Linked DNA regions of Ovis aries. The protein of the gene in region 6 interacts with the protein of the main gene of each other region in a pairwise test. Links are inferred from orthologs where the notes say so. Each region holds a gene or a part of one and is shown on either strand. Other genes may lie near its edges. The genes, in order: RAB33A, PDLIM5, PSMD9, MOS, LENG1, CCDC136 and FAM107A.

The links.
Region 1: the proteins of CCDC136 (region 6) and RAB33A interact in binary tests that used the Homo sapiens proteins (3 or more experiments, as listed by UniProt). The two-hybrid records come from large-scale screens. The link is inferred for Ovis aries from reciprocal best matches to the Homo sapiens genes CCDC136 and RAB33A.
Region 2: the proteins of CCDC136 (region 6) and PDLIM5 interact in binary tests that used the Homo sapiens proteins (3 or more experiments, as listed by UniProt). The two-hybrid records come from large-scale screens. The link is inferred for Ovis aries from reciprocal best matches to the Homo sapiens genes CCDC136 and PDLIM5.
Region 3: the proteins of CCDC136 (region 6) and PSMD9 interact in binary tests that used the Homo sapiens proteins (3 or more experiments, as listed by UniProt). The two-hybrid records come from large-scale screens. The link is inferred for Ovis aries from reciprocal best matches to the Homo sapiens genes CCDC136 and PSMD9.
Region 4: the proteins of CCDC136 (region 6) and MOS interact in binary tests that used the Homo sapiens proteins (3 or more experiments, as listed by UniProt). The two-hybrid records come from large-scale screens. The link is inferred for Ovis aries from reciprocal best matches to the Homo sapiens genes CCDC136 and MOS.
Region 5: the proteins of CCDC136 (region 6) and LENG1 interact in binary tests that used the Homo sapiens proteins (3 or more experiments, as listed by UniProt). The two-hybrid records come from large-scale screens. The link is inferred for Ovis aries from reciprocal best matches to the Homo sapiens genes CCDC136 and LENG1.
Region 7: the proteins of CCDC136 (region 6) and FAM107A interact in binary tests that used the Homo sapiens proteins (3 or more experiments, as listed by UniProt). The two-hybrid records come from large-scale screens. The link is inferred for Ovis aries from reciprocal best matches to the Homo sapiens genes CCDC136 and FAM107A.

The regions. Positions count from the first base shown.
Region 1 is NC_056080.1:114,027,380-114,031,744, reverse strand, and holds the start of RAB33A (ras-related protein Rab-33A), read right to left. Parts: upstream 3,046-4,365; 5' UTR 2,878-3,045; coding exon 2,620-2,877; intron 1-2,619.
Region 2 is NC_056059.1:30,649,606-30,653,407, reverse strand, and holds part of PDLIM5 (PDZ and LIM domain protein 5), read left to right. Parts: intron 1-2,131; coding exon 2,132-2,248; intron 2,249-3,802. UniProt on the Homo sapiens protein: May play an important role in the heart development by scaffolding PKC to the Z-disk region. May play a role in the regulation of cardiomyocyte expansion. Isoforms lacking the LIM domains may negatively modulate the scaffolding activity of isoform 1.
Region 3 is NC_056070.1:53,464,361-53,468,823, reverse strand, and holds the start of PSMD9 (26S proteasome non-ATPase regulatory subunit 9), read left to right. Parts: upstream 1-1,442; 5' UTR 1,443-1,470; coding exon 1,471-1,608; intron 1,609-4,463. UniProt on the Homo sapiens protein: Acts as a chaperone during the assembly of the 26S proteasome, specifically of the base subcomplex of the PA700/19S regulatory complex (RC).
Region 4 is NC_056062.1:36,287,661-36,290,839, reverse strand, and holds MOS (proto-oncogene serine/threonine-protein kinase mos), read left to right. Parts: upstream 1-1,330; 5' UTR 1,331-1,397; coding exon 1,398-2,420; 3' UTR 2,421-2,522; downstream 2,523-3,179.
Region 5 is NC_056067.1:63,980,508-63,985,065, reverse strand, and holds the start of LENG1 (leukocyte receptor cluster member 1), read right to left. Parts: upstream 2,979-4,558; 5' UTR 2,953-2,978; coding exon 2,821-2,952; intron 1,463-2,820; coding exon 1,283-1,462; intron 666-1,282; coding exon 403-665; intron 1-402. Other genes in the region: TMC4 (transmembrane channel-like protein 4), read right to left, coding at 3,571-3,639, 3,736-3,814, 4,053-4,208, 4,306-4,436.
Region 6 is NC_056057.1:94,459,171-94,463,769, reverse strand, and holds the start of CCDC136 (coiled-coil domain-containing protein 136), read right to left. Parts: upstream 3,013-4,599; 5' UTR 2,924-3,012; coding exon 2,866-2,923; intron 2,075-2,865; coding exon 1,967-2,074; intron 405-1,966; coding exon 153-404; intron 70-152; coding exon 1-69. UniProt on the Homo sapiens protein: May play a role in acrosome formation in spermatogenesis and in fertilization.
Region 7 is NC_056072.1:42,903,721-42,908,322, reverse strand, and holds the start of FAM107A (actin-associated protein FAM107A), read right to left. Parts: upstream 2,874-4,602; 5' UTR 2,757-2,873; exon of another isoform or gene 1-2,756. UniProt on the Homo sapiens protein: Stress-inducible actin-binding protein that plays a role in synaptic and cognitive functions by modulating actin filamentous (F-actin) dynamics. Mediates polymerization of globular actin to F-actin. Also binds to, stabilizes and bundles F-actin.

The DNA.
Region 1 (4,365 bases), on a different chromosome or scaffold from region 6:
ATTGCCGACACCAAATGGGGCTTCAAGGCCCTACAGATGGCACTGGCATTTTGTTTGGTGTTGTAGTTTGTTTGTTTTTTGGCCATGCCTTATACCATGCAGGATCTTAGTTCCCCCACCAGGGACTGAGCTTGGGCCCCCTGCATTGCGAGCAGAGTCTTAACCACTGGACCACCAGGGAAGTCCCAGCACTGCCATTTTAGAGCCTGACAGCCTTCTCCTGCTGAACCTGTGGTCTAGGGCTGCCTCAGTTTGGGGACTTTTCTCTCTCTCCCCAAAAGAGAAGCCTTTGACAGTCACCTCCTAGTATGGGTTTTGGTACTCGTTCCTTGAGACATTTCAGGCCAGCCAGAGTATGGGGCAAAACTGCCTCCCCTGGGGTGCCTGTGCTAGCTGCTGTGCTCTGCCATCTCCTCAAAGACACGCCGGTCTCACCTGCCAGCTTGGGCTCTGGGCTTGCAGCAGCCTTGCTGGAGGCAGGGCCCCCATCCCGCTGCTCCCACACCCTACCCTGAGCCCCTTCAGAATCTGTACTCAGAGGGCTCGCCCATGAGCAGTGTCACAAGATTTCGTCCTCTTGAAAATATCATCTTCCCAAAAAAGCCTGTATTAAGCACTTATGTGCACGTGGTGCTGTACTGGGCTCCATCTCTTGTGAGTCACACTGTCACAGGCTCTGCCCTCTGGGAAGAGGTCCAGAATCTTTGGTGGACACTGTAAAATCCAGTTTGACTAAGTACTGGATGTTAGAAGGGAAGGAATCTTTGCAAAATTTTCCCCAAGGCCATTGGGCAGTGACCCTCTTCCACTCGTTTTCACCTTCCACTTTCTGGCTTCCTCCTCTCCTCTCCCCCTCTTCTCCTTTCCTAGACTCCCAAACATTTCCTTTTTCTTTCATCTAAATTTCAAGTGGACTTCTTTCCCCCTCTCTTAAATGTAAACGACTCTTTGGCTCAATGTGACATGATGTTAAACAAGCGATAGCATTAAATTCGAAAGGTTTTGAGGGTTTAAGAACACATTCATAAGTATATTTCTATTTTGGATTTTAAAAGGCATGTTTTAGAAATTCCAGTCTTACAACCTTACATTAAAGAAGTCCTAGCCAAACAGACATTGAAATAAGAGCCCTAGGAAAGGATGGAGACAGATACCTACTTTGACATTTAAAAGGAAATGTAGCAATGCCCCCCCGCCCCCCGCCCCCACCACCGCCTGGCAAAATGAGAGGGGCAAAAAAGATCACTATTTCCAAACAGTACCCTATGTTCCTGATCCTGGGGTCAGTTGTTCTCAAGAGCACTCCCGTATCGGTACTGAGCTCCCCATCTTCCTGACATCAAGTGCCTTGGACCAGTCTCTGAAGCCATTTTAAAACCTGTTCATTTTAATAACGAAGGAGTCAGGAATCTTGTACAGTTTAGAGCATTTCATCACCCTCCCCAGTTACTCAGCCCTTCTCTCTACATCACTCAGAAGAGAGGTCCTGTGGTCATTTGGGCTGTTTGCCCAATGGAAAGGGAGGGTTAACTTCACCTGACAGTGTCTGACCACAGGCTTGAGAAAAGGCCAGCTGTGGCTCTAGAGGAGTTGGTCTTTAGTGCCCAGTGCCTTTTGAGGTGTCTTTGCTGCCCATAACCCTGCCCCCTCTGCTCCCCCAGCACATGAAGCTGCCCTTGCCAGGTCCTTCCTCCCCCCATCTTCTGCACATTGAAATATTCCTGTCCTCTTGAGTTTCTGCCTTTTCTGATCTGAAAGTGAGCACAAATGGTCAGACAAGAATATCTGTACTTACTGACAAACTAATGAGATGGGGGCACCAAGACACTTTCCTTAGGCCTCAAACAAGTTGCTCTGCATCTTTACAAAGGCCCGCTGAAGACAATACCAACAGAATGAGTAACAGGCATTAGGTACACCAGACAAATAAAGAAGCTATCATTTGAGGGGTGCTCTTCCAAAAGAACTAGTTTTATCTGTTATGAAGTGCCGGCAGGTAACCCTATGTCAATTTCTTTAAAGGGGCTAATGGCTTTGTGCCAGAACCACTGCACACCACTCCTATTCCAAACCAGCCCTAATCTCAACTATACATTTTAATTTAAAATACAGCACTTTTCATTCTCTATGGATTTCCATCCTCCCCCCACCACCCCGCCTGCCCACTGCCAAGGCCTGAGGGCTTAGCCAAAGCAGGTTTGTGCAACCTATTGGCACTCACGAGGTAGAAGAGACCTCAAGATATGTGAAGTGCTTTGGGATCCATTCCACAGACCAGGACGGAGATCCCTCATACCTCCCTCTGCCCACAGGTGCCGCTGCTCCCGGCTCAGGGTCGAGGATGGGTTTGAACCGGCTTTTCCTGGCAGGAGCTGTCAGGCAAGGGCAAAGGGCATGAATGCAACCACTCCCTCCAGCCCTCAAAAAAAAAAAGTGGGGGGGTTGAGGTGGGAATTGGGCCACTGAGAGAGGCGAAAGGGGATGAGGACTTGCGGAGGGTCTTGGGCTCAGCAAGCGGCGACACAGCCACACGCTGGACATTTACAACCACATGAGAGATACCTCTGGCAAGACCCCCTCCCAGATCCCTCCCTTTCTGGACCTGACCGTCTGAATCACCTTGATCTTCTCGCCCTCGATTTCCACCGTCTTCTCCCTGAAGTCAACGCCGATGGTGGCTTCAGTCTTGTCCGGGAAGGTACCCCCGCAGAAGCGGAAGGTCAGGCAGGTTTTGCCCACGTTGGAGTCCCCGATCACGATGATTTTGAAGATGCGAATCTGCACGTACTGGTCCAGCGACGAGTCCAGCTCCAGGGAGGCCAGGCCAGCGGCCGAGGCGGGCTGCAGATTCCCATGGCCCAGGATGGGCTGCGCCATCTCCCCCGGACCAGACCGGGGCCCCAACCCCCCTCGAGGGCTCCACACAAAGAAAACGGCCACGTTAGTGCGCTCGAGGCGAGCGAGCTTTGTGCGTGTGTATGTGTGTGCGTACGTGTCTGTGAGTGTGTACCCGCGCGTGTATGCGTGCGCCGGCAACGTGTGTGCGCGCGCGCGCGCGTGAAGGGGGTGCTTCTCACCCCAGCCCCCCTCCTCCAGCGCACCCTCCTAGCAGCTCAGAGGCAGCGACACAAAAGCCAGGGAGGGGAGGAGAGATGGAGGAGAGCCGGCAAGCCTTCTCCTTGGGCCTGTGCCCTCAGGCTTGGGATCCTACGGCGCTCCCCAGGCCGCCTCTGCCGCCACCGCGCCTTTGCATAAACCCTCCCCTGCCGGGACCCCAGGGACACACCGGAGGGAAGAAGCCTAAGGAGGATAGGGTGGGTGGGGAGATCCGCACACGCCAGCTCGGGATGGTCTTCCTTTTTCCTTGCACCCATTTATTTTATAGCTTTCGGGCTCCCCACTCCCACTTTCTCAGAGCGCTCGGGGTCAGCGGGCTGGGAGCACAACTGGGGAGGACAAAGAAAGCTGCACCTTCGGGCGTCTCTAGAGCACTTTGGCCCTGGAGCGACACTACTCGGCGGGAGTGGGATGTGGGGCGCAGACACCTCTTTCACCTCTTCTGCGGCGGGCAGCTGCGCCCCGCCTCCGCGGCCCCCTCCCAAGCCTTAAGATAAAGGGATGCTCTGTCTTATTGAGAAAGCAGGTGCGCTCGCGCGCCCCAGGGAGCCGGGGAGGGCGCTGCCAAGACACACCATGGGTTGTGGGGCCCGCGCAGCTGAGAGGAGGAAGGCAGGGGCACGGGTGTGCGTGTGTAGGGCGAGTTACTGTTTCTGTCACAGACTTGCCAGATGTAGGGGGGCGCGTGCCAGGCGCCAACCGCCCCTCATCACACCACGAGCACCCATCCTCTGAATGTTCAGGAGAGTGGCTCCCATTGGCTGCTGCAGTCGGTTGTGTTTGGCTGGCCAATGGGGAAGGCCCGCCGCGGCAGAGGGCCGGTGTGTGGGCTAAGAGAAGGGGAAGCTAGTGCTGGCAGCTTCAGCAAAAGGGGACTTTGTTTCCGGGGCTAACCGTGACAGGTCCAGGTGGAGGGATCCTGAGACATGGCGTAAACCTCACAGTGTCTTGCACTTCTGGGCTCTCCATACAATCACAAATCCTTGCAGAATGGTGGAGTTTCAAAAGGAAGTGGAAACCCCTAGGAGCGTTCACCCCTCTGCAACTGAATGTAGAACAAAGTGGTTGGGTCTAATTTGCCAGAAGCCTAGATTATGCTTGGAAGATGATAAATGAACAGAACTTTTCTTACGGTATTAGGGGACAGCTTCCCAAGGCTTAATAAGCACTACACATCTCGGTCAAGACCAATTCCTTCTGCCAAAAGTGATTTGCAGGTTCAGAATTTGTTTGAAATCAACTCTACTG
Region 2 (3,802 bases), on a different chromosome or scaffold from region 6:
TTTTAAAAGTTTTTTTTTTGGAGTTCTAGTCATTTCTTTGAGGTTGTTCTTGTATCAGTTCTTAAACAGTAATACCTGTTTCAGCTGAATTGGGAAACAGTCTCAAGAAGGTACGAGATATATTCTGTGGAAAAAACTCACTATAGATATAGTGAGTTTGTACTTGAAAACAATAAATTTCTCCAATGCATTTATTCAACAAATATTTATTTGTTGTTTTCTATGTTGTAAGCACTTTGTTTTACTTACACCAGTGAACGTAACTGTCCCTGACCTCAGGGAGCTTCTAATCTAGTGAGGGAGTCCAGATTCAAACAAATAACCACATAAATTGTATAATTAATATAATAACAAATTATGTGAAGAAAAAGTACAAGGTGGTATAAAACCATATTACACAGGCCGCATTTAGGTAATTTGGGGAATTAGGGAGACCTCCCTGAGGAGGTGACATTTAAACTGAGGCCAGAAGGTTACTTAAGAACTAGTGTGATGAAGATGTGGCGGAGAGCTGGGTATAGAAAGTGAGAGGTAATAGACTGCACAGTGGCCTTGAGGTGGGAAGAGGGTTTAAGAAGAGATGGAAGACCGCTGGACTGGAGCAAGCCAGACAGAGAGAAAGCTCTGTAAGAAAGGCTGGTGAGTAGGGAGCCTAGGATCACAGCCATCCATGGAGCAGTGCTGGCAGCATCTAAGAACCAGACAGGGTCAGATTTATGTTCTTAAGAGTTCGCTCTGGTAGCTGTGTGGAGACATTAGTCTCTGTGACAGGGGGTCAACAGACTTTCTCTGTAAGACATGAGGTAGTAAATATACTAGATTTTGTGAGTCATGGGGGTCTGTTGCAGCTGCCCAGCTCTCCATGTTTTATGGAAGTAGCCATAGACGCTATATGAGTGACTGAACCTGGCTGTGTTCTCGAAAACTTATTTATAGATGCTGACATTTGAGTTTCATATAGATTTTACGTGTTGTGAAATAGTCTTTTTTTTTAACTTTTTAAATCATTTAAAGATATGAAAGCCATTGTTAGTTCCCAGGCCGCATGAAGATAGGAGGCAGGCTGACTTTGACCTGGGAGCTGTGGTTTGCTGAGTGTGGTTTGTTACAGCACTTCTTTTCTTTCTTGTTTAACTTTTTTTACTCTGCCTCTTAAATGATGTTTACTTCTACCTTGACATTTTTCTTAAGTTATCTACACTTTTTTCCAACACTCTGTTAAAGATATGACCAGTACTAAATAAAAAATGGGAATATAACCTCTTCTATTTTTATCTTAGTGTTACATTTTCCATTTGAAACTCAATAGACATGACTGATCCATTCTACTTTTTTCCACAGGCTTTTTTAAAAATGAATAATTTTTTGTTTTTTCCTGTTTATTTTTTTTTCCCAAAGTGTTATACTTGGTGCTTTCTTCTTTCAGGCCTCACACTGAATTTTTTCATCTTCTCTTTACTTGGTAATAACTCTTAAATTTAATTCTGACATTCAAAAGAAAAAATGGTAAAGACATCAGGAAAACAAAATGCATCATATTCAAACAACACAATTGCTTGTAAACGTTTGTTTCTGATAAGATGAAATAGTTTCTTTACATCAAGGTATGACATCCATATTATTTCAGATCTGCAAATAATTATTCTGACTTGAAGGGAAATTCGTAGTTGCTTTTGTGTATTGTGGTATTCAGCCCCACAGGATGCTAGAAAGCATAAGGTTTTAGAAAGAGTACATATAGACTTGGTTCAGCATCCATCTGAGCCTTACTAGGTATATGATATGATATGATATGATATGATACTGGGCAACTTAATTAATTTCTTGGAGCTTAAGTTTCTCTGAAGCATGCAAAATACATAGTGATGGAAATTCCCACCCACCTTTCTTCCCCCTGTAAGCATGATAGTTTATCACATAAAAATTGCTATGTTAAAAAACGGCCTATATTTGTTGATTGTGAGGGTGTTTGGTGTTAGTTTTAACCTTCTACAGATAGAAAGTTTAAAAAAAAAATCTAGCGGTATTCCAAAATGGAACCAATGAGCTTTTAAGGTGGTATACATGATTAAAGTCTGTACTTTTCATTAATATTTCCTCTGCCTTGTTTATTTTACTTCTGAAAACTCAGGTTTGACAGTTCTCTGGAAGACCTACCTCAGAGTGGACCTCACCCACCTACAACTGCTCAGGTTTTACATATTGGTGGCCAAGTAGCCACAGTTTCTAAAGTAACTTCGTATTCTAGGTAGAGTTTTTTCCTCTTGTCTGTCTAAATTTTAATGCTGGTGGTGATAGGTACTAAAACTGTTTGACTATTAATACAAAGGAAAAGCTGATCATAGATTACAGAACTGACATCTCTAATATATAGACAGAGCTTGGCGCTCAGCCTTGGTGGAACACTGCTTTACACTACTTTTAAATTTTTCATTTTTTGTTTGGATTCTGAGTTCTAGTTTAGAGTCAGGAAATCTGTGCCTTTTCTCTGTTCACTGTGCTTTGGAAAGTCATCTTTCTTGAGTTTGTCATAAGTCTATTGAATTAGAGCATTCCCATCTAAAAAAGAACTGATAGAAATTTTATGTTCTAGGTGCCCAGATACATTCTAATTATATTGAGGTTAATTTTCCTAAGATTTTGACGGACTCTGCTCTACTCAATCTTTTTATACTATTATTTGTGATACAATGTGATGAAAGAAATTCATTATAGCTTCCTTTTCTTCTTATAGAAGAAGGATAATTTAGCTGATTGATTTTTTAGATGACTTTTTTGTAGACTTAAGTGTCTCATTATTTGCCATTATTTCCCTGAAATAGAAGCCATTGTCTCAAAGATGCAGAGTAATTGAAAAACTCAAAGTTGAGTCAGTTGTAACTGTATTCTTCCACTTTGTATGACACTCATATTCTTGTGCTCTGCTGCTTATCTCATTTTTCTTTTCTTTTTCTTAGACCCCATTTTTTCTTTTCTAGCCATTCACAACAGTTAAAACATATCTGCACAGTTCAATTAAATTATAGACTTACCAAAAATTATACTTAAGCAATTCTCTCTCTGTGTGTGCATATAATATAGATAGATAGATGGATAAATGACTTACCACGGTTTTCTTAATTTGTCTTCTAATGTTTTGTAAAATTATAGCCAGTGGAACTAGGAATAATGAATTATCAAATTATTCTAGAAGGGAGAAGAGGAGACAGGGAGAAGAGACTTATATCACCCCTCACAGTTTTGGGCATCGGAGCTCTTATTCGCTTGAGTTGAGTTTGGTACATAATTATATTGTGTTAGAGGTGGCCACTGTCACCAGTTTTGGAAAAGGCAGTCATAGTATAGTGAGGCTATTCATTAAGAACTTATATGCGTAGTTAAAGCAGAGAGACATAGATTTCATCCCATGCATTTTAAACTTTCTTTTTACCTAATAAAGAAGTTCTCAATTCCAGCTTGATAACCAGATTTGAGAGAAGGGCATGGCAACCCACTCCAGTATTCTTGCCTGGAGAATCACCATGGACAGGGGAGCCTGAAGGGCTACATACAGTCCATAGGGTCGCAAAGAATCAGGCACGGCTGAGAAACTAAGCAACAGCAGCAACCAGATTTGAAAATCATTACAATCCTAACGATGGAATGTTAATTCCTATCTAGGCATATGACCTTTTCTAAAGGACCAAAGGAAACTATTACTTTAAATAATTGGAATTTTGAAGGTAAAATTTCATAGCAGCATTTTTGAATCTTTACAGAGCTAACTGAAAATAGAAATACAGAGCATCATTAGAGAAGGTGA
Region 3 (4,463 bases), on a different chromosome or scaffold from region 6:
TAGTTCCCTGACCAAGGATTGAACCTGGGGTCCCTGCACTGGGAGTGTGGAGTCTTAGCCACTGGACCCCCAGGAAGTCCCTTTAGTCTTTAATCTAGGTGATTGCCTAGCTTCTGTGTGGATATTTCACAATAATGACATATTTGAAGAGTTCAGCCAAGTTGTTTTGAAGAATGTCCCTCAATTTGGGTTTGTCTGTTTGTTTTTCATGACTAGATTCAGAGCAAACATGTTTGACTACTAGGTAGGTGATGGTGTGTCTTTTTCAGTGCAAAATGTCAGTGGGAACATGTTAAGAGGTTGTGTCATCTTTTGGTTAAGCTGGGTTCAAATTGGGGCTGCTTATTTTGCTAGCTGGGCAAGTGAGTCATTGAGATGATTTTTCTCACCTGTCAAATGAGAGTAATAATAATCCTGGTTTATGAGTTTGTTGAATTTTTTAAAACAATTTATTTGGCTGCGCCGAGTTTCAAATCTTTGGAGCATGCGGGATCTTTTTTTAAGTTGCCACATGTAAACTCTTGGTTGAGGCATGTGGGATCTAGTTCCTTGACCAGGGATTGAACCCTGGCCCCCTGCATTGGAAGCCCACAGTCTTAGCCACTGGACCACCAGGGGAGTCCCAAATTTGTTGAATTAATACACATAGGGCCCTTAGAACAGTGCAATGCGTTGTATTTGATAAATTATTAGTATTGATATTATTGTTGTCATCAATACTATTTTTACTGATATTTATAGAGACCTTAATATGAGACACACTGAGTCCAGTGCCCACTTCTTTGCCCTTCCAGCACCTAGGACAGTGTATGACACAAAGGAGGCATTCAATAAATACTTGTTTGCATTTTGCAAACAGGTCAACACTATGTCATATGAATATCATATGTCATATGAATGTCAACACTATGAGATAGATTGCTATCAATAGCCAACCAACTCACGGATAAGGAAATGGAGGCTCAGTGAAGTGATTTATCTAGGCCACTACTGGCAGTAAGAGGCAAGAGCTGGGATTTCAACCCAAGCTTATAGGCTTTGTAAAACCAGGAATCTGAGTATTATGTAAACCCTCAAGGACTGTGTAGATGCAGAGCTGAAATGGAGCGCCACGCACAGTGCGCTGCCCCATGCATACAGGAGGCGCTCAATACATAGCTGAATGAATGAGAAAAGAAAGCGAGTCAACTAGAGAGAGTTCATCATGCCCTGGTCTGGGCCAGCGCTTGGGTGGGACTGGGAATCCATCCGTCCTCATACCTCCCGCCAAGAGTTACCACAGGACCACTTGTTCCAGCAGGGTGTGGTTTCTGGTGACCACGCCCCACAGACAAAACCACACCTTTTACTTTTCCGGGCTCCCGCGAACAGCCGAGGTGTTTTGGCCCGCGCGCGGAGCCGTAGCTACAGTTTCCTCGGGCGTCCGCGGCCGGGAAACCGGCAGTTCTAGGTCCCGGGTAGACGTGCACAATGTCGGAGAAGGCAGGGAGTCAGAGTGGGGGCTCCTCGGAGGCCAGTGGTGTAACTGTCAGCGACATTCAGGAACTGATACGGCGCAAGGAGGAGATCGAGGCCCAGATCAAAGCCAATTATGAAGTGCTGGAGAGCGTGAGTGTGGGAACTGGGCTCCCGGGCGGGCTGGGAGGCCCCGCAACGCATTCCTGACGCGGCCCCAGGCCGGGCAATGAGGCAAGTAACGTGAATAACTAGGAAGGATTCGAATCGATGTTCTAGCAAGCATTTATGGAGCCCTCACTGGGAGCTGTGTTAAACGCTTCACATTGGTTAACGCATTTAATCCTCCCAATAATCTTTTGAGGTGAGTTCTATTATTTCACCCATTTTAGGGATGGAGAAAGAGACATTACTTAAACCTGCCTGAAGTCGCAGTTCAGTTCAGTCGCTCAGTCGTGTCCGCCTCTTTCAGGGCTAATAAATTTGCAGAGGCAGGGTGATAATCATCTCTGGCATCGGTCGTACAGTTACCAGATGTCCTGTAACCACTTTACCTTAGAGCTTCTTAAACTTTAATGTGTACGCGAATCACCTGGCGATCTTATTAAAATTCAGATTCTGATGATGCACGGGTGTGTGGGAACAGCTACTGCATTTCTGCAAATTCCCAGCGATGCTGATGCCACTGGTGTAAGAACATAACAGGAAAGGTTTATTATCCTTACGGTATAAGGAGGAAACTGGGGCCAAGAGTGGGGCAAACCCTTGCCTAGGGTCCTGTACGTCGGAAGTGGCTGTGACGGGGTTAGTTCTCAGGCCTCTCTGGCTCCAAAACGGATACAGTTTTTCTTAAGCCACCTAGCGTAAAACCACAAATCAATTTGCCGAGGAAGAGTAAATGAATTACATTCTATACAGGGTGGATGAAGTGCAATGTAGGTGATGCTTATAAGATGAAGTATCATGTGGAGGCCAGGGTACCCTTTTACTGGGTGCTGACTGTGTGCCTGAATTGAGCTGGTTTATGTGTATGCTATATCCTGGAATCCTCTTAACTGCTCTATGAAGTTGGTATGTTACTCTGGGACTCAGAAAGGGGAAGTCACAAGATGAGATTTAGATCTTATGCCTAGGGAATCCAGAATCTGTGCTTTCAAGTGGTTTCTCACACCTGAGTTATTTTTCTACTGCAGACAGGATGCTGTGTCTGTATACCTCCTGTACTGTTACTCCCTTGTTATTTTCCTTTAAGTTAACCCATATTTTTTTACTTAATCTTATTTTTAAAGGAAATTTTGTAACTTCACAGCATATGAAAACATAAGAATCTCTTTCCTTAAATATGAACTAATGAAAGTGATCCCCCCCCAAAGGTGATCTATCCATGTATCTGTCACCTGATGAATGGATAATGAAATGTGGTCTGTCCATACAATGGGATATTACTTAAATAAAAAACAGTGAAGTGCTACATATGCTACAAAAGATCATGAACTTTGAAAGCTAAGTGAAAGAAATTCATCACAAAAGACCACACATTTTATGATTCCATTTATATGAAAGATCTAGAATAGGCAAATTCATGGACAGAAGGTAGATTCGTGGTTGCCAGGGGCTGAGGGGAGGGGGAGATGGAAGTGGCTGCTAGTGGGTCAGAGTTTCTTTTTGGATGGTGGTGAAAGTGTTTTTAAATTGATTGTGGTGATGATTTCATAATTCTATGAATATTCTAAAAACCACTGAATGGTACATTTATTTATTTGGCTGCACCACGCAGCATGATCTTAGTTACTTGACCAATGATGGAAACTGTGCTCCCTGCAGTGGAAGCACAGAATTCTTAACTACAATGGCACCCCACTCCAGTACTCTTGCCTGGAAAATCTCATGGACAGAGGAGCCTGGTAGGCTGCAGTCCATGGGGTCGCTAAGAGTCTGACACGACCGAGTGACTTCACTTTCACTTTTCACTTTCATGCATTGGAGAAGGAAATGGCAACCCACTCCAGTGTTCTTGCTTGGAGAATCCCAGGGACGGGGGAGCCTGATGGGCTGCTGTCTGTAGGGTCGCACAGAGTCGGACACAACTGAAGCGATTTAGCAGCAGCAGCAGACTGCCAGGGACATTCAGAATTATACACTTTAAATGGGTGGATTGCATAGTGTATGAATTATATCTGAATAAAGCTGTTTTTAAAAATGGAGAGGCCCAGATATAACAAGTGATCTGGAGATAATATGGAGACCAGCACGACTTTTTCTTTGACTACTGGAGGATTGATGATATTTGGAAAGGGAATAAGTATTTTAGATTCAGGGTTATTAAATGCCTTGTATATGAGTTGCCAGTGGCCCAGGTCCCAACGTTGGAAACCAGTCTCTGATGCAGTATTGCCTTACTGCAATCAGGAAGGCCAGTCAACTCTTAATCATTGTGAGCATACAGGAGGCAGATACAGATATTAGCCCCTGGCACATTTATACCGTATCTATAGAGAGTCCTGGGTTAAGGGAGTATACGAGACCCCCTTCCCCATGAACAGAAAACAGTAAGTGTAACCCACAGGCTTTCAGAAGGAAAGGGAGAGAAGTGAATGGAATCCCTCCCCTTGGAACCTGTGTATGCTCAGCAGTTAGTCTCTGTGCAGATCATTACAGCCCTCATTTATTACTTTCTGTGTGTATTAGTTTCCTGGGGTCACCGTAACAAATGATCACAAACTTGGTGGCTTAAAACAGCAGAAGTTTATCCTCTCTCAGTTGTGGAGACCAGCAGTGTGAAATCAAGGAGTTGGTAGGTTTGATTCCTTCTGGAGCTCTGAGGGAGAAGCCATTCCCTGCCTCTCTCCTAAATTCTGGTGGCTCCTGGCCATCCTTGGCTGGTGGCAGTGTCTCTCTAATCCCTGCCTCTGTCTTCGTGGCCTACTTTCTGCATCTCTCTGTCCCATTTCTCCTTCTCCTTTCTTTTATCAGGATACCCATCGTTGGATATAGGGGCCACCCGAAAT
Region 4 (3,179 bases), on a different chromosome or scaffold from region 6:
TTAAATATTATACATGATATCACATGGTAAGTCACAGAGGTAATATAGAATAGAAATCTTATTCTAGGGTTCAGAAGACTTCCAATAGCTTATGTAAATGGACTGTTTATTAACATATCTTCTTGGAACAAATATACTTCAGAAGCATAGACCTATCTTCAGAAAAATGTGTTTACACATCACCTATATGCTCTAAGTGCAAAAATAAAGTCAAGATAGAGCTTTACCATTTGACTTTTCAAAACATAGATCCTAACATCTTCCTGTGTTTTTTCATGAACAGGGTGTTATTGTTGGTTTTTTCCCCAAAGGTATGAAATGAAAACTGTCTTTTTTTAAAATAAAAATTAGAACAGAAGAACTCACGGCTGAACAGCAAGATCCTGGATTTAATCTCAACATCTGATTTTCCACAGTATATGGAGGAACAGTATATGACTGTGACTCTTTTTATTTCTTCAGATTTTTCCTCTCCTAAGATCTCTCGTATTTGTTATTATTTGACGCTCTGCTTGTAGCTCTGAATCATTTTCATTCTTTTTCCTCCTCTAACTCTGCTTCAAAACTTCTGTAACTTATTTGCTGTGAAGTCTAAAATCTCTTCTGCAAGTGAGCGTACTGGGTGCACCAGACAGCCATGGACCCCAAAGACTGCTAAGGATGCCATATGTTGCTAAGAAGTCTTGCTAATTTGCTCTATCAGCTGAATGGGGTGTCAGAGAATTTTCTTTTCCTTTATGAACTCAGAGTGTTTATGCTGTGACCTGTATCAGCAATTCTGCTTGGATCGATCACTTTCAGCTTACCATTTTTCATCCCTCCGTGAACGTTGCACCTAATTTTCCCTGTAATCGGTTCAACAACTGTCAGCTGTTCATGTTTCAACTCTTTCTGCCAATAACTGCTGGAAGTGATTTAATGCAGCTGGAGAATAAACTGACAATCATTATAGCCTGCAAAGTGTGAAAAAAATTTCATTGCACTATTGTGATCTGAGGACCGATGACGCCCAGCGGATGAGACTTGGAGTGGGGGTGGACGGGTAGGGGAGAAGCCTGCTTTATAATAATTAAAGAACTTGTGGAAGAGGGTGATTCCTGGGGCAAGTTAACTGTTTATCCGGTGAACCCTCTTCCAGGGCTTGTTTTATAAGAATTCACTGTAAGTGCCCAAGGGAAATACCTTCATCTGAATGGGGTTTCGGTGCTGCCTGCGCTCAGATGGTTTCCTCAGCTGATAAAAGTCCTCGCTAAGGAACCGCACAGATGTGGCTCCTTTGGGGAAGATGAAGGCAGAGGAGACAAACACGGGGGCGGAGCGGAGGGGCAGCAGCCAGTGATGCCTGCAGGCCGACGGGATCCCCTCTTCCAGGCCGGCTCACCTGCGCTGCAGAAGAGATGCCCTCGCCCCTCCCGCGGCGCCCTCACCTGCCCGGCGACCTCTCGCCGTCGTCGGGGGACTCGCGGCCCTGCAGCAGCCCCTGCGAGCTCTTGGGGGGCATCTTGCCGCGGGCCCCGCGCCTCCGGCGTCGGCTAGCCTGGTGCTCCATCGACTGGGAGCAGGTGCGTCTACTACGGAGGCTGGGCGCGGGGGGCTTCGGCTCAGTGTACGAGGCCACCTACCACGGTGTGCGAGTAGCCGTCAAGCAGGTGAGCGGGTGCTCCAAGAACTCGCGGGCGTCAAGGCGCAGCTTCTGGGCCGAGCTCAACGCGGCCCGGCTGCGCCATGTTAACATCGTGCGCGTGCTGGCGGCCAGCACGCGCCCGCCACCGGGTTTCGACAGCCTGGGGACCGTCATCATGGAGTTCGGGGGCAACATCACCTTGCACCAGGTCATCTACGGCCCCACCGGCTGCCCCGGGGACTCTGGCGCGCAGCTGGGCTTGGAGAGGTGTCTAAAGTACTCCCTAGACGTGGTCAGCGGCCTGCTGTTCCTCCACGGGCAAAGCATTGTGCACTTGGACCTCAAACCGGCCAACATCCTCATCAGTGAGCAGGATGTCTGCAAGATCGGGGACTTCGGCTGCTCCGTGAGGCTGGAAGACCTGCGGAGCCCGTGGACGCCTCACCACCTGGGCGGCACCTACACTCACCGAGCCCCGGAGCTCCTCAAAGGAGAGCCTGTTACACCCAAGGCCGACATCTACTCCTTCGCCATCACCCTTTGGCAGATGAGCACGCGGGAGGCGCCCTTCTCGGGGGAGCGGCAGCACGTGCTCTATGCCGTGGTGGCCTACCACCTCCGGCCCGCTCTCCGGGCACCCGTCTTCACCGACTCGGTCCCCAGGAAGACGTTGGCGGGCATCGTCCAGCGTTGCTGGGCGGCCCTTGCTCCCGAGAGGCCGAGCGCAGAACTTCTCTTGGGGGACCTCCACGCTTTGAAAGAGGAGCTGGGAGGACTCGAGACTGGATCCAAATAAGCGTCTTTGTTTCTGATCGTTTTTAACGAAGTGAAGATTTAGCGGGGGAAAAAATCATATAGGTAGGATGGATTTTTAGAAAATAAAGTCCCTTAAAAACTCCCTTTATCTCGAATGCTTTTTCTAAGACAAACCGCAGAGCGGTCGTGGTGCTCTTTGTCGTTATTTAGTCGCTAAGTCTTGTCCGACTCTTTTGCTACCTCATGGACTACAGCCGGCCAGGCTCCTCTGTCCATGGGCTTCTCCAGGCAAGAATAGGAGAGCAAGTTGCCATGCCCTCCTTCAGGCAGTAACAGGTATTCCTGAATAAACTGTAAAAAAAAAAAAAAAAAAAAAATAGTTGTCTGCAACCCCAACAAAGAGGACAGCAGCTCATTACTCTTGTTGTTTTCATTAAAATGGCTATTGTTTGTATTTGTTGTTGTTGTTGAGTCCCTAACTAGTGTCTGACTCTTTGCTGACCCCATGGACTGTAGGCCACCAGGCTCCCCTATCCATGGGATTTCCCAGGCAAGAATACTGGAGTGGGTAGTCATTTCCTCCTCCAGGGGATCTTCCTGATCTTCTGGACCCAGGGATGGAATCAGGGTCTCCTGCATTGGCAGCTAGATTCTTTACCACTGAGCCACCAGAGAAGCCCCCTGGTGGTTTCAGGACCTACCTTATCTCCTTACAGGGTTACTGGGCTTACTTTAACAGTTCCATGGTACTGCACTTTTTCAAATTTGTTATTTGTAAAACCAGGTTTTCCAAAGCAGA
Region 5 (4,558 bases), on a different chromosome or scaffold from region 6:
TCCTCTGCCAATCCTCGGCTGGGCGGACTTGCGCACTGCCTAGCTCATCCCCTCCTCTGTGAGGAGACTGGCCAGGGTGCCAGCCTGCACTCGGCGGTCTGGCATCCTAGGAACACAAGAACGCCTGTTGACTCGAACCTCTGCTCCTCAAACTCTGGTCTCAGAAACAACCTCAGAGCTGTCCAGAATCTAATGTATACAACGTGAACAAGAGCAAGCAGATGGCCCACCAGCCACCAGGGCAGTGGCCTTGTAATAAATACCATGTAGTCTCTGCAGACCCCGGAACAAGGCTGAAAACGTTCAACGGTGTTACGAAAATGGGCCTGACCTTGCAGACCCCAGAGCCCCTGCCTCAGCCAGAGCGCCCGTGGTGCCCACTTGGCCAAAGAGGCTCCTTACTCTTTGGGTCGCTGTTTCTCAGGCGCCTTCTTTTCCTTTGTGCTGTGACCACCACTGTCTCCACTGTGCTTTCTCTTCTTCCCCAAGTGCTTCTGCATCTCCCGCAGCGGGTCCAGGCGGCTCTTGATCCTCTCGTCGGGCCCAGGACCAGAGGCGGGGCCGCCCGGCCTAGGGGGCAGCTGGTACCATGGGGGCTGAGTCTGGGCTTCCGCTGCACTCTGTCCCAGGTATGTTAGGATGCCCAGGGCTTTCTCTTGCCTCTCCTGAGGGAGACAAGATGTGAAAGTGAGAACAGGAAGCATGTTCCCTCTCAGGCAGCCAGGGTTCCCGCAGAGGCAGAACCAGACATTCAGCCAGCAGAGCCCGTCAGGAGCCGACTCTGCCAGCTGCTGGGACTTCAGAGATGAGTCCCCGGGGTGCCCCTGCTCTGGGGCACCAGGACAGCTTCAGCAACAAACAGCATAGGAAGGAGGGGACTGCTTATGTTAGGGTTCAAAGGCAGCATCTTTGAGGAGATAGAAAAGAAACTGTGAAGCCAGCCAGGTAAAGCAGTGACTGAGGGGGGAGGGGCGGGGAGGCAGTCTGATAGGAAACCCCGAGGGCAAGTGAGGGACAGCGTCTGATTTACATTTTAAGAAGCTTAACACTTCCCAACATCTTCAAGGTTTGCACATCAGGTTAGAGACCTGAGGGGGTCTACCTAGCACCCGGCAATAATCAACACCTCTTAACATGCTATGTTCTAATACTATTCTGAGTTCTCTAGCTTGTTTAATCCCCACCATCTCCCTAAATATTCCCGTAATCACACCTGAGGGCAAGGTACACCCCCACCCCTGGCTCCACCCGTGACCCGAGGAAGAGGGTAAGGCCACCTTACTTTCTCCTGTCGCTTCTCTTCCTCGTACTCTTTATTGCCTCTCGTCGCCCCCTTGCCTTCTTCCAGCAGCTCCCGAAACAGATCCACAGGGCCAGAACTGCATGGGGCTCCCGTTTCTGCTTCCAGTGCAGGAAGTGAGTTCTGATGCCTGGCTTTCTTCCGTAGGAATTCTGTGCGGGCCTGGAGGGAAAAAAAGTTACAGGCAGAACATTCAGAACCTAGCTGTAGCCCAAGGGACTCTTGAGCCTAGTGCTGACCACTGCAGTGGTAAGGGCTCGAAGGAAGGGAGCAGGGGCACTGGGAACCCAGAAGAGGCACCTGACTATTCCTGGGGAGAGGGTGGAGCAGTGAGGCAAGGCATGGTTTGTAAGCCATCTTCCAAACAGTAAACGAGGGGGTTTCATTTCTGACACAATGAAAACAGCTATAAAGGCAGCCAAAACATCTATTAGGACAGGTGATCTGAATTCCAGGAAGGGCGCTGAGTCATTATGCCCATTTGATTTCCAATTTCTATTGATAACCGTGAACTTAAAAAATATTGCTTTGGCTGCATCAGATCTAGTTTTATAGCATGTGCGATCTAGTTCTCTGATCAAGGACTGAATCTGGGGCCCCTGCATTGGACGCCACTGGGCCACTAGGGAAGTCCGATAAAGGTGAGCTTTAAAAACCCTGACTACCTCCCAGCCAGTGCTGACGATCGGATTAGTCAAAGGACTGGAAGCTAGGTGTAAACCAAACAGGTGAGGAGTTAGAGAGACTCTCTAACGTTTGTGCGCAGCGGTGCAGGCAAAAGGCACGCCTGGCGCAGCGGGACTGGCTTGAGACACTGTCGCTTCGCTGTGGCTCCTCTGAAGCCATCTCACTTCTCCGCCGAAGGGAGATAACCGCCCCGCTAAGAACGAACAGGGCTCGAGAGACTGCAAATCAAGCGCTTTGCACGGGATGAACAGGGGAAAGCGAAACTGAAGTCGCTCAGTCGTTTCCGACTCCTTGAGACCCCATGGTATGTAGCCCACCAGGCTCCTTCATCCAGGGGATTCTCCAGGCAAGAATACTGGAGCGGATCGCCATTTCCTTCTCCAGGGGATCTTCCCGACCCTGGGGTCGAACCCGGGTCTCCCGCACTGTAGGCAGACTCTTTACTGTCTGAGCCGCCAGGGGACAGCAAGAGCTCACTGCACAGGGTGTTTGTACAGCTAAAGTAACAAGCGGCCCGAGCTTCCGTGAACTGCCCAGGGCTCCGATTACTCACGACCCCCTACTCCGGCCCTCCAGGAGGACCAAGGAGAGGTCGAGGGGAACGTCGGCACGGCCCGCAGGCCCAGCCCGCCCGGGAGCCGGGCCCCAGGTCCGCCAGGGTGGCCCGCTCCCCGGCGCCGCCCCGCTCCCCGGCGCCGCCCCGCTCCCCGGCGCCGCCCCGCTCCCCGGCGCCGCCCCGCTCCCCGGCGCCGCCCCGCTCCCCGGCGCCGCCCCGCTCCCCGGCGCCTGCGCGCTGAGCCGCGGCGCCGCGTCCGCCCGGGCCGGGGGCTCACCTCCTGCTGAGCGAGCAGCGCCCTCCGCTCACGCTCTTTCTCCTCCTCACGGGCTCGGGCCTCGTCACGCCGCACGCGGGCGACATTGTCCTTGTTCCGGACGTGCCAGCTCTTCTTGGGTAAAATATTCATGGCGCCTCAGCCGTCCGCGGACCGACAGGCCCACCTCCTGGCACTTCCAATTGGCGAGAGGCAGGCCCCGCCCCGTTGCTCCTTCCTCGGCCACGGATTGGCTCTGCGCTGCCTGACACGACCCCCCAGGGCTGTAGCGAGAGGTGACTGGCTGCGGGGCCCACGTCCCCCGTCTCCGAGAATCGCGCGTGGCGTCGCCTAGCGACCGCCGCTCCCCAAGACTCTGATTCAATCACGTGTCCCCGCCCCGAGGCTCCTGAACGCAGCCGCTGATTGGCTGGCGCGGTCTCTCTCGCGGAAGAGTCCGCCACGCTCTCAGAGCCACACATTTGATTGGTTTATGTCCTGTGAAGGCTTGCCCCAGCTTCTGGACCGGAGATTAAAAAGCACTCAGCGGCCTCCGCTGTGTTTATTGACACAGTACTAGATTCATTGATACAGTACTAGAAAGAGGTTCACTGGAGGGTCGGGGCCTCAGCAGGGAATCCCAGGGCTGGAAAAGCACGGGGTCTTCCCCAGTTCACTCATTTTCCAAATGATGTTGACGAAGCTCAAAAAGGATCTGGGAGCAGGTCTGGGGCTGGAAGTGGGACGTCACCCCAAGCCAGGCTGGAGAGGTCAAAGAGTTCTGTCGGCCGAGCTCAGCGCCACAGCACGCTGTGCCAGGAAGACTTTATTCTGCGCCTCCTGAGGGAAAGGTAGAGGGGAGGTGAGACACATCTCTCCCCTGTGTTCTTTTTCATACTCTCCAGGACCCCTTCCCAGGGGCCAGGCCTGGCTCACCGTCTGTATCTGGCGTTTGAGTTCAGAGATGAGGCGTCCATATGAGTTAGCCAGGGCCACTGTATACGCCATCAGGATGCTAGCGGAGATAAAGTGGAAGCCACTCCGCAAACGTTCTCAGAATATCTTCCACGTAGGGCTTTTTAGAAAGCAGGGGTCTGGACCTCCTCCTTCAGACTCAAGGAGTCGAAGCATCCCAGCCCCCTCCTTCCCGAAGACCCAAGAGTTTGGGCCCCAACCCCCTTCTCTCTCGGAAGCAGGCAGCGGGACCCCAGGTCAGACATTCAGAATCAGACCCAGGAGTCTAGCGCCCTCACCTGGAGATCAGCAGAAGGGGCACAGCAAAAGCCTGGGTACCCAGGAAGAAGAGAAAATTCTGGGCCATCTGAGGCAGTTTGCAGATAGACTCGGGGATCGCCACCCAGATGGACGACTGACCCCGGAATGGACCACACAGCTTGGAAGGTGGGATCCTGGAATCAGAGATAGGCAGAGGTCAAGGATGGCCCAAAGTCAGAACCCTGGACAGGAGGGTGGAGGGTGGGAGAGGCCGGTACCTCCCACACTTACAGGAAGATGCTATAAAGCACAGGAACCGCGGAGATGGCCAGACCCAGGAGAAGGACCAAGGGGAAAAAGAAATTCACAGTGGAGGCTCGAAAGGTGCGGGAGGCCGGGGAGCAGGTGGAGAAGAGGGTGATCTGGCAGGAGGGGATGAAGGGAATATGAGACACAGGAATCTGAGCCCCAGACGCTCCTTCTTCACCATCCAGGAGCCCTAATCCCTGGCCCCCTCTCCTCAATCAGGAGCCAGGAATCCCAG
Region 6 (4,599 bases):
GCTGCTGGATCTGCTTAGTGAACACCTCTGCCTGCTGGGCGCTGGCCAGCCGCTCGTCCTCCAGGAGCCCTGCAGGGACAGGGGAGCTGATGTCAGGGTGGGGACCCAGTGTCTTTGGGACCAAGCCCTCCAGTCCCATCGCAGGTGCTCACCCTGCAGCTCCAGAGAGTCATCTTCGTGCTGCCCTGCCAGCTCCCGGGTCTCCTCCAGTTCTGCCACCAGCCGCAGCACCTGAGCCCTCAGCTCCTCCAGCTCCGTCTCCGTGAGGCTCAGGCCTCGGTGCTTGCTAACCGACAGGGAGCCTGCGTTGCCGCCTTTCTGCCCTGGATCATCCTCTTCTTCCATCTCTTCTTCCTCCTCCTCCTCCTCTTCCTCCTCGTAGAGAGCTGGGAGTAACACTTCCCCTAGGAGAGACCCCCGCAACATCCCGCCAGCGAGTAAGAGCCAACTTTCTTACACAGTCCTTAGAGGGCCCTCCACCTCACTGTCCTTAGAGGACAGAGATGGTATAATAGTGCCACCTGGTGTCCCCCAAGGAGCCTCTGGGCAGCACCTGCATGCCTGAGGGGCCCTGAGGTGTGAGAGTCAAGTTTGGAGGTATCCATCCCCCTCCCAGGCACTTCCTGGACCAATATTGCCTCTGGGGCCTCCAAGGACTGCCTTCAGGTGGACTGAACAGCCAGGGACTGGCTTGCACAAGGATACCTTGCTTCTTCTATCCTTGTCTCTGGGCACAAGTAGTCAAGAAAGGATTCAGACACTGGGTGTGTCTTTAAGCCAAACAGGGCAAGAATTACAGTTTGGGGGTTTGTACAAAGTTTACAAACGATCCAGGTGGCTTGTGAGAAACTAGCCTTTCCATTATATGAAAGTGTTGCCTGTCAGTAGGCAGAGAAAGAGAACATCTGAATGAAATGATCTAAAGGATTTACTGGACAAACACTGGGGCCCTTCCAAACATATTCCATTGAATAGACTTTTTGAAATTTTCTACCAAGTCCACTTTTCTTTTCCCTGCTGAGTGTCTGGGGGTCTCACTTCCTCCCCTGCTGACCACAAGGCAGTTTTTAGGGGAAAGTCATAGGTTGTACTTGTGTGTAAAAGAAAGCCTGCCATTTTAATGAGTTAAGAAACTGGGGTGTGTTGGTCCCCAGTCTCTGGCTGGCAAGCACCCCCTCCTTTACTGCAATGCAGTTTCTCTAAATAGCAAAACCTTATCTGGATGGCAATTGTTTTAAAATTCTGAGTCTCTGGCCTGGTTTTGTCCAGTAACCACAGCCTAAGATTCATCTGGGACCCCTGGCATCATCTGTCTCCCCGGGGTCAGTGGAGGTGGGGGGGGAAGGGGCAAGATTGACCACACTAGATGTGCACAGGGACCTGGGGACCCTTCACGGGAAGTCCTGGCAACAGGACTGGCACCCTTCTAGCATCCTCCTGGTGTTGGCAACAACTGCCAAGTCGCATGGGTGTTGTGGGAATACACATGTGTTGGGAGGTTGGCCTTTTCAGCAGCCCCCTTCCCAGGCTCCCTCTTTCAGGCAGTAAGATAGCCTAGAGAACCAAAGCCACCAGGCTTCCATTTGAAGTCAGTGGTGGCAGCACCAGAAAGACAGTTCACGTGCTCACTTCCCTGCTTTTCAAAATAAGAGACAGCTTGGGATCTGGGTCGGGAGGCAGAGAGAACAAACCCCCTGCTGAAAGGCTGCTTCAAAGCTCTGTCCAAAGAGGCCTCTTTCTCTGTCTGGCAGCTCCCTCGGGACACACAACCTGGTTAGCTGGTGATTAGAACCCCAAAAGGATGTACCTTGAACTTCCCTCAAAACCTGAGCCCTGAGGAGGGCTAGCGGGTGCTGAGCTGAACTAGGGGGAAGGTGTGTGTCCTGGCTCAGAGTTCTGGAGGGTCAGAGGGAGGAAGGAAAATTGGGTGAGGGAGAAGGAAAGAAAGCTTTACAGGAAAACTCACCCTCCATAGCTTGCATCCCCCGCCGTTCCAAAGACCCCCAGCGTTGGCCCTTCTTCCTCTCACAACCCTCCGACACCTCATAGGAGCCTAAAGTGGTCACTGTGGGTCCTGTGAGCAAGGAGAGAGAGGGATTGTGGGGTGCCAGGGTGGCTGGGGTGAGGCAGGGAGGGGAAGGGACACACCTTCTAGCCCTTCGGAGCCCTGGGGGTTTTTATCCCGGTGGAAGTACTTGGCTCACTCTGCCAGGCACTGCGACTCCTCTCCCCAAGCTGCCCCTTAGGCTGGGCCTCTGGGGACCCCGCCCTGCCCTGCCCATCCTCCTCTGCAACCTCTGTTCCAGGCTCCTCTCCCTCGCACAGGTAGAAAGGGTGTGTGTCTCTTTAGCCCAGAGGGGACAGAGGGGGAAGATGGACAAGGATGGCAGAGGGTGGGAGCAAGTAAAGAGGCTGAAAGGGTGAGGTAGTGCGCCTAAGGGGAAGGTGGGGAGGGGGCCGGCGATGGCTGGCGGGGGTCGTGTGGACCGGACCCCCTCCCCTCCCCTCCATCTCTCCCTAGACTTCGTCCACCCCACCCGCGCCCCGCGCTCAGAAGCTTTAGGGGTGCGAGCGGGTGCAGGATCTATAGAGCCCCTAGGGCTGGAAGCAGTATGAGGCTGGAGAGTCGAGATTGAGAAGGCTCAGGGCAGGGAATGCCAAGGAGGATGCGGCCGGTGTGGGGAAGACCCAGCCGGGAAAGATGGAGACCGGGCCCGGGTGGGGGGCGGGAGGGAGGGAGGAGGAAGACTTCGGCCGTCAAGGTGGGGAGTAGCGGAGGGGGGAGAGGCCGTGGGGGTCTGGGGGGAGGAGAGATGGAGAAGAGGAAGGAGAGGCAGTGGAGAGGTGAAGGAGGGGCGCTCTGACCTGGGCCCGGGCAGCTCCAGCCCGAGGCGCCCGCGCCGGCCCCGGCGCCCGCCTCCATGGCCGCTCTCGCCACCGCCGCTGCCGCTGCCGCCGCCGCCGCCGCCGCCGCCGCCGCCGCCGCCGCGAGGCCGGGTACCGGAGCCGGGTGCGCAGGGGAGGGAGGGCGGGCCGGCCGAGGGGGCGGGGCCTGGCCGGGCCACCTGACACCGCCCCCGCCGCCGCCCGCCCGGAAGCCGGTCGGCCGCCGCAGCTCCCGAGTTCCCCGAGGCCGAGCGAGCGGGAGATGGGAGGAGACCCGCGCGGAGAGTGCGAGCAGCCAGGAGTCGGCTGCGCGAGGAGACCCCCTCTGCTCCGTGTGCCAGGATCCCGTCTAGCTCGGTGATGAGGCAGGAAAACCAAAAGGATGGACGGATCCTCCCGGCTTGTTTCCTGCAAACACGCGGATGCTTTTCCACTCCCCTGGCTCCCTATGGCGCAGGGCGCGCCCCCCAGCTCTGCAGTCGGCGCGGACCCCGGCCACCCGCCCCAGAACTGCGTGAGGGCAGGAGCGGGGAAACTGAGGCCAGGATACGTGAACTCGGGGCCCTGATCCCTCTGTTGTCCGTGCGTGCGCCCCTCACCAAGCCAGAAGCAGGGACCCTCTTAGGAGGGGCGGCTCCGTGGCCCTACACTGTCCTTAGTGTCCGAAGGCCGCCTTTCTCCACCGCTTGCCTTCCCACGAGCCCTACTCCCGGTGGGCTGCGAGAATGACCCCCACTCATCATGCACGCATAGCCTGTTCAGGGTGGGCACTGCTGATTTACAGTTAAAAATGGGAGATGTGAAACTTACGCGGGCTTATTTCACTTAACTTCATCATTCATTCAAGGAACGTCTACCAGGGGCCAGGTCTTGAAGAAACAATTGTTCTCACATCTCTGAAGGTCTTAGCTAGGAAAAATATGGGTACACTTGAGAACTGGGGCGTCCCAGGACATCCAGAAAAGCACTGGGAGATTCCTAAGCCAGGGACACACACCAATCCTTTCTCTCACCCATCCACTCACAAGGTCTTTGGCATATATTGTCTTTGTCACCGCCACAGGCTCCCAGGTTCACGAGCCCTCCATATTCTTCAGGGGAGAACCTTTCTTCACCTGGACATCCCCTACTTACCCTTCAACACTCAGCAGGGAGTCATCCCTAGGCAGCCCTTCCTGATGCCCCCTCCCACCCCATTATACACACCCTCTCCTCCTTTCTCTCTAGGGCATTGCCAGTCACTCAGGGTTGTCAAGGTCAGATTTTCAATTTTCTGTCTGCCCATTTTCTTGAAGACTGGGAGTTAACATGGTCTTCTGTATATCTCTGCTGTTGCTGCGGCTGCTAAGTCACTTCAGTCATGTCCGACTGTGCGACCCCATAGACAGCAGCCCACCAGGCTCCCCCGTCCCTGGGATTCTCAAGGCAAGAACACTGGAGTGGGTTGCCATTTCCTTCTCCAATGCATGAAAGTGAAGAGTGAAAGTGAAGTTGCTCAGTCGTGTCCGACTCTTAGCAACCCCATGGACTACAGCCCACCAGGCTCCTGTGTCCATGGGATTTCCCAGGCAAGAGTACTGGAGTGGGGTGCCATTGCCTTCTCCTAGCATCTGACAAATTCTCTTACACGTAGAATGAATGAGTAAAGGTAAATCTCCTAACTTCACATCTGTATACTCTGCTTATCATTTAGTATATAATCTCACACTCAAG
Region 7 (4,602 bases), on a different chromosome or scaffold from region 6:
AGACGTAGCACAGAAATACAAGGGAGTATCACTCCGCCATCAAAATGAATCACGCCATCTCCAGCAACATGCGTCAGCCTGGAGACTATCACGCTAAGTGAAGACAGTCAGATAAAGACATACCATATGATATTGTTTACATGCAGAATCTTTAAAAAAAATAATAGGAATGAACTTCTTGACAGAAACAGATTCAGGCTTAGAAAACTTATGGTCGCCAGCCGGTAAAGGTGGGGAGTAGGGATAAATTGAAATAAGTGTATACACCCTGCTACATTCAAAACATAATTAATTAGGACCTAGCGAATAGCACAGTGAACTTTGTTCAATATTCTGTAATAACCTAACTGGGAAAAATTTTTTTAAATGCACGTGTGTGTGTGTGTATATATATATATATATATGTATAACTAAATCACTTTGTTGCATACCTGAAATTGAATCAACGTAAGTATAGTTCAATATGACATAAAAAGCGTCCAAAGTGATTCTAATAGACAACTTTGTAACACAGAGTTTAAAAAAAAAAAAAACAAGCTTTTTTTGCTTTGGCCTGAGTGATTTCAGCTGACTGGTTGGACTGGCTCTTCGGGGCGGGTCTGGTTACAGTCGGTGTGCTTGGCAGCTTTGTGACCTTGGATGGGAACTTAACTTCCTGGACCCTTCTCTCTACAATCAAGATGCTGTGAGGACTGGACAGGCTGAAGTGGTGGAGGTGGGGCAGAGGCAGCCAACGACAGACTCTGCAACTGTAGCCTGCGAGGCTCCTCTGTCCACGGGGTACTCCAGGCGAGAATAGTGGAGTGGGTTGCCATGCCCTCCTCCAGGGCATCTTCCTGAGTCAGGGATCGAACCCGCGTCGCTCATGTCTCCTGCATGGACAGGCAGGCTCTTTACCGCCACCGCCAAGGGGACCCGTGTTGAGCACCTGACATCTGATGAAGGCTCGTTCGCCTGCATTCGGGTCTCACAGTCTCCCCCAGGAGGCAGCCAGTGGTACTGTTTTATTATTCCCATTTTCTAAATGGGAAAACTGAATCTCAGAGAGGCCAAGCTACTTGTCCAAAGATACGCAAAATAAATGGCAAAGTCAGAAGCTTTGGGCCGCAAAGCCAGTGCTCTTTCTGCCACTGCGGTGTCTTCCAGGTGCAAGGCATCGCCTCGGTCAGCCAGGCAGCTTTACATCCCTTGCCTCTCTGGACACTCGGGAGAGCCCAGTAGAGGCAGTGGGAGCCCTTTGATAGTGAGAAACCGGTGCTGCGAACTGGGGAACTCTGCACCCTCCCACTGGGGAGCCCAGGCCGGGCCCTCACTGCTCTGGGCTTAAGCCAGAATCCACCGGCCTGTCTGCGCCCCGCTGGGCTGCTAGCAGAGTCCAGCTGGTGGCCGTGCCTCCCGGGGTGTTGTCTGAGTCTTCACTCTTATGCGCTCCCTCCCCCTGCCCTTGCTCCTCATTACTGATCAAGCTGGCGCGTTTACAACACAGCCAGTGATCTCCTCGGTTCCGCGTTTCACGGGATGGACGCGCAGAGGAGAAGGGAAGCTGTGAAATTAACTACTGACCAAGGAGAAAGAAGCTTTCAGTGAAAGTGACGAGCGTGGCCATCGCATTTCTGAACCTTCGTACCTCTTTCCTCCCAGTGGATAGAGTGCCCATTTGTATTTCCCTGACCTGCAGCCACAGCGTGGCATATCTGGGGGCCTCTTCCACACTTCCAGCCCCCCGCCCCCATGCCTGGAAGCCCCCGCCAGAGCGGCTGGATCACTAGGACGCAGCCTCCCCCAACCAAACTGGCTCAAGACAAACTTCCTCAGCATTCTGCCTGCGTCTCCCGTGACCTCGTTTGTGAGATGGTCTGGTGGGCACACAGGGTTTCGAATCAGTTCCATAGCAGAGGCCAGGGCTGGACGTGGAAGGTCCTTAGCGAGGCGGGTGGAGCGTCCTGTGCAGTTGATCAAGGCACAGTGTCGGCCCACCAGTGGCATAATGCCAGCCACCCCACTTGACCAGTGCCTCTGGCGGGGGGATCCTGGCAGGACTTACCACCAGTGGGGCGAAGAGCCACTCAGCGTCCAAGCTGGCCAGAGATGCAGGTACCGGGGCTGCCCCACAGCGGGGAAACCGCTGGGTTTAGCAGCAGTTCAGAAAAGTGACGCACCCGACCCCATAGCCCCCTGATTCCTGGCCCAGTACCAGCCTTGCCTCACACTGCAAAGTGCTGAAGCCAAACCCAGGTGGGCAACGCACGGACGTGCCCTCACCCTGTGCCACGAGCTGCGCGCAGCGGCCGCACCTCATGAAATCCTTACGACGGACTGAGGAGGTGGTGCTCTTGAGACCCCTTTGTGCCAATGAAGACACTGAGGCTGAGGGGTCTTTCCCAGATCACACGGCCAGCAAGTGAAGGCTCCGGAGCCTGAGCTGAGCTGTCTGCCTGGGGCCGTCTCGGCCGGCTTCTGACCTGTCGGTCCTCAAGAGAACTACCGCTGCCGCGAGGTCATGCCACGCATGAACTCAGAGGCACCCGAGCATTCGGAAGACAGAGATCAGCCAGAGCGGGGCGCGGGGGAGGCTGCATCCGAGCGCTCCCGGCACAGCCTCTCCGAGCCCTTTCCCAAACCCAGGTGCCCAGAGGCACCCGCGTCATCTCGCAGAGTGTGGCACCTGGGCTCCAAGAGCTCTGCCCCCCTGCCGGCCTCCCTGGCGCTGGGAGGCTGCCCTCCTTACCCCGCCACACCCCTTCTTGGCACCGCACCCCAGCTCAGCAGCACGGGGGACAGAAGAGAGCCGGTCTTACTCCTCAGCTGAGCCCGTGTCCTTGGGAAGAGAACTTCCGAGCGCAGCGCTGCTGGTCCTCGCTCCACCAGAGTCCCGGGTGAGCCAGGAGGGGCCGCCTCCACAGGACGGTTCGTCAAGCCCTGGGGATGAAGAGAGCCAGCGAGGGAGGCGGCTCTGCGTTCCTGTTTATTCTGGTATCATTAGAAAGGAACTGTTACTATAGTAACGGGTATTACACTTGGTGCTCGGCCACTTCCTCCATGCGGAACACTGTGTCCGAGCCCCACTGCCGGGGAGGCAGGCGCAAATAAGTATCGATTTGGTCAGATCATTGAGGGGCAAGGACACACCAAGCTTTGTTCTGAGCGGCGTGGCTCAGGCACAGGCATTTCCCTTGTTTCTGATGGAGGGTCAGCCAGAATGCCTTCTGGCACCTCCCTGACCTGGTGGGGGTGGGGGGGGGCAGGCTTCCTGCTGCCCGGCGCGACTCCCCAGGGGAAAGCGGCTGTTGGTGCAAAGGAGGGGAAACTAGGCTGCATCAACTCCAGTCACCCACGTACAGGCCAACAACTCCATCCTTGGTGCTTCCTCAGTGCCCTGAACCTCAGTGGGGAGCCACAGGATGGCGCCCAGGGGATGTGGGTGAGTGGACGCTGACCAGCTCTGGGCCAGACCAGCCCTGGTGTTCGCCCCTGCTCAGCCCGGCATGAGCCCCTTGGGCAGCCGGTCGGCAACCCCTGAGCCTTGGTTTCTGCCTGTCAAGTGTGGAAAACAGCAGTGGTTGAGAAGAAACACAGATGAGCTGACACCGGGAAGCAGGCCGTCAGTGCGCGGCAAGGAGGACTTTTCCTGCGGAGAGAGCTGGACTCGGTGTGAATGGCGTGCAGCGCCGTCCCTGGTGGGGTCTGTGCCCCGAAGGTCTCGTCTCAAGGAGTCAGTGTATGAGTGTGAAAATAAAGAGCATATGTAGCTACCAAAGGCCAGTGTGGGTGTTTACAGATAACAGGCATTCTCCTAGTTTCACAATCCGCTCGCTTGAAACGTGGACGTGTTTTCTAGCCTGTGTTGTCATTCCTTAATCCCCTAGTGAGGAAGCTGACCTCCACTTAAACTTGGCCCTCTTCCCACCTCTACTTTCTCGTGAAGAGTCTGGGTGGGTTGGGAAGTGATTAGACCCAGGGCATACATCCAGCATGAATGCCAGCATTAAAAATGCAATTTTGCTTCGGTAAAATATTAGCAAACTGAATCCAACAGTTCATAAAAGGATCATACACTATGATTAAGTTGGATCCATTCCAGGTTCACAAGGATGGGTCAACATATGCAAACTGGTCAGTGTGGTACCCCATATCAACAAAGGACAGAAACCATCGGATCACTTCAGTAGAGGCAGAAAAAGCATTTGATCAAATTCAACACGCATTCATGATGAAAATTCTCAGCGAAGTGGGTACAGAGGGAACATAGCTCAATGATAAAAGCCATCGATGACAAACCCAGCATAATACTCAACAGTGAAAAGCTGAAAGCCCTCCCACTAAAACCTGGAACAAGACAAGGATGCCCACTCTCACCACTTCTATTCAGCATGGTATTGGAAGTCCTAGCCATCACAATCAGGCAAGAAAAAGAAATACAAAGCATCCAAATCAGAAGGGAAGAGGTAAATTCATCACATACAGGTGACATAATATAGATAGCCCTACAGATTCCACACAAAAGGGTCAGAACTGATCAGCTGAACCCATCAAAGTAGCAGGATGCAAGGCGGACATACAGAAATCTGTTGATTCCTTGCCATTTGCAGCAACATGGACGGA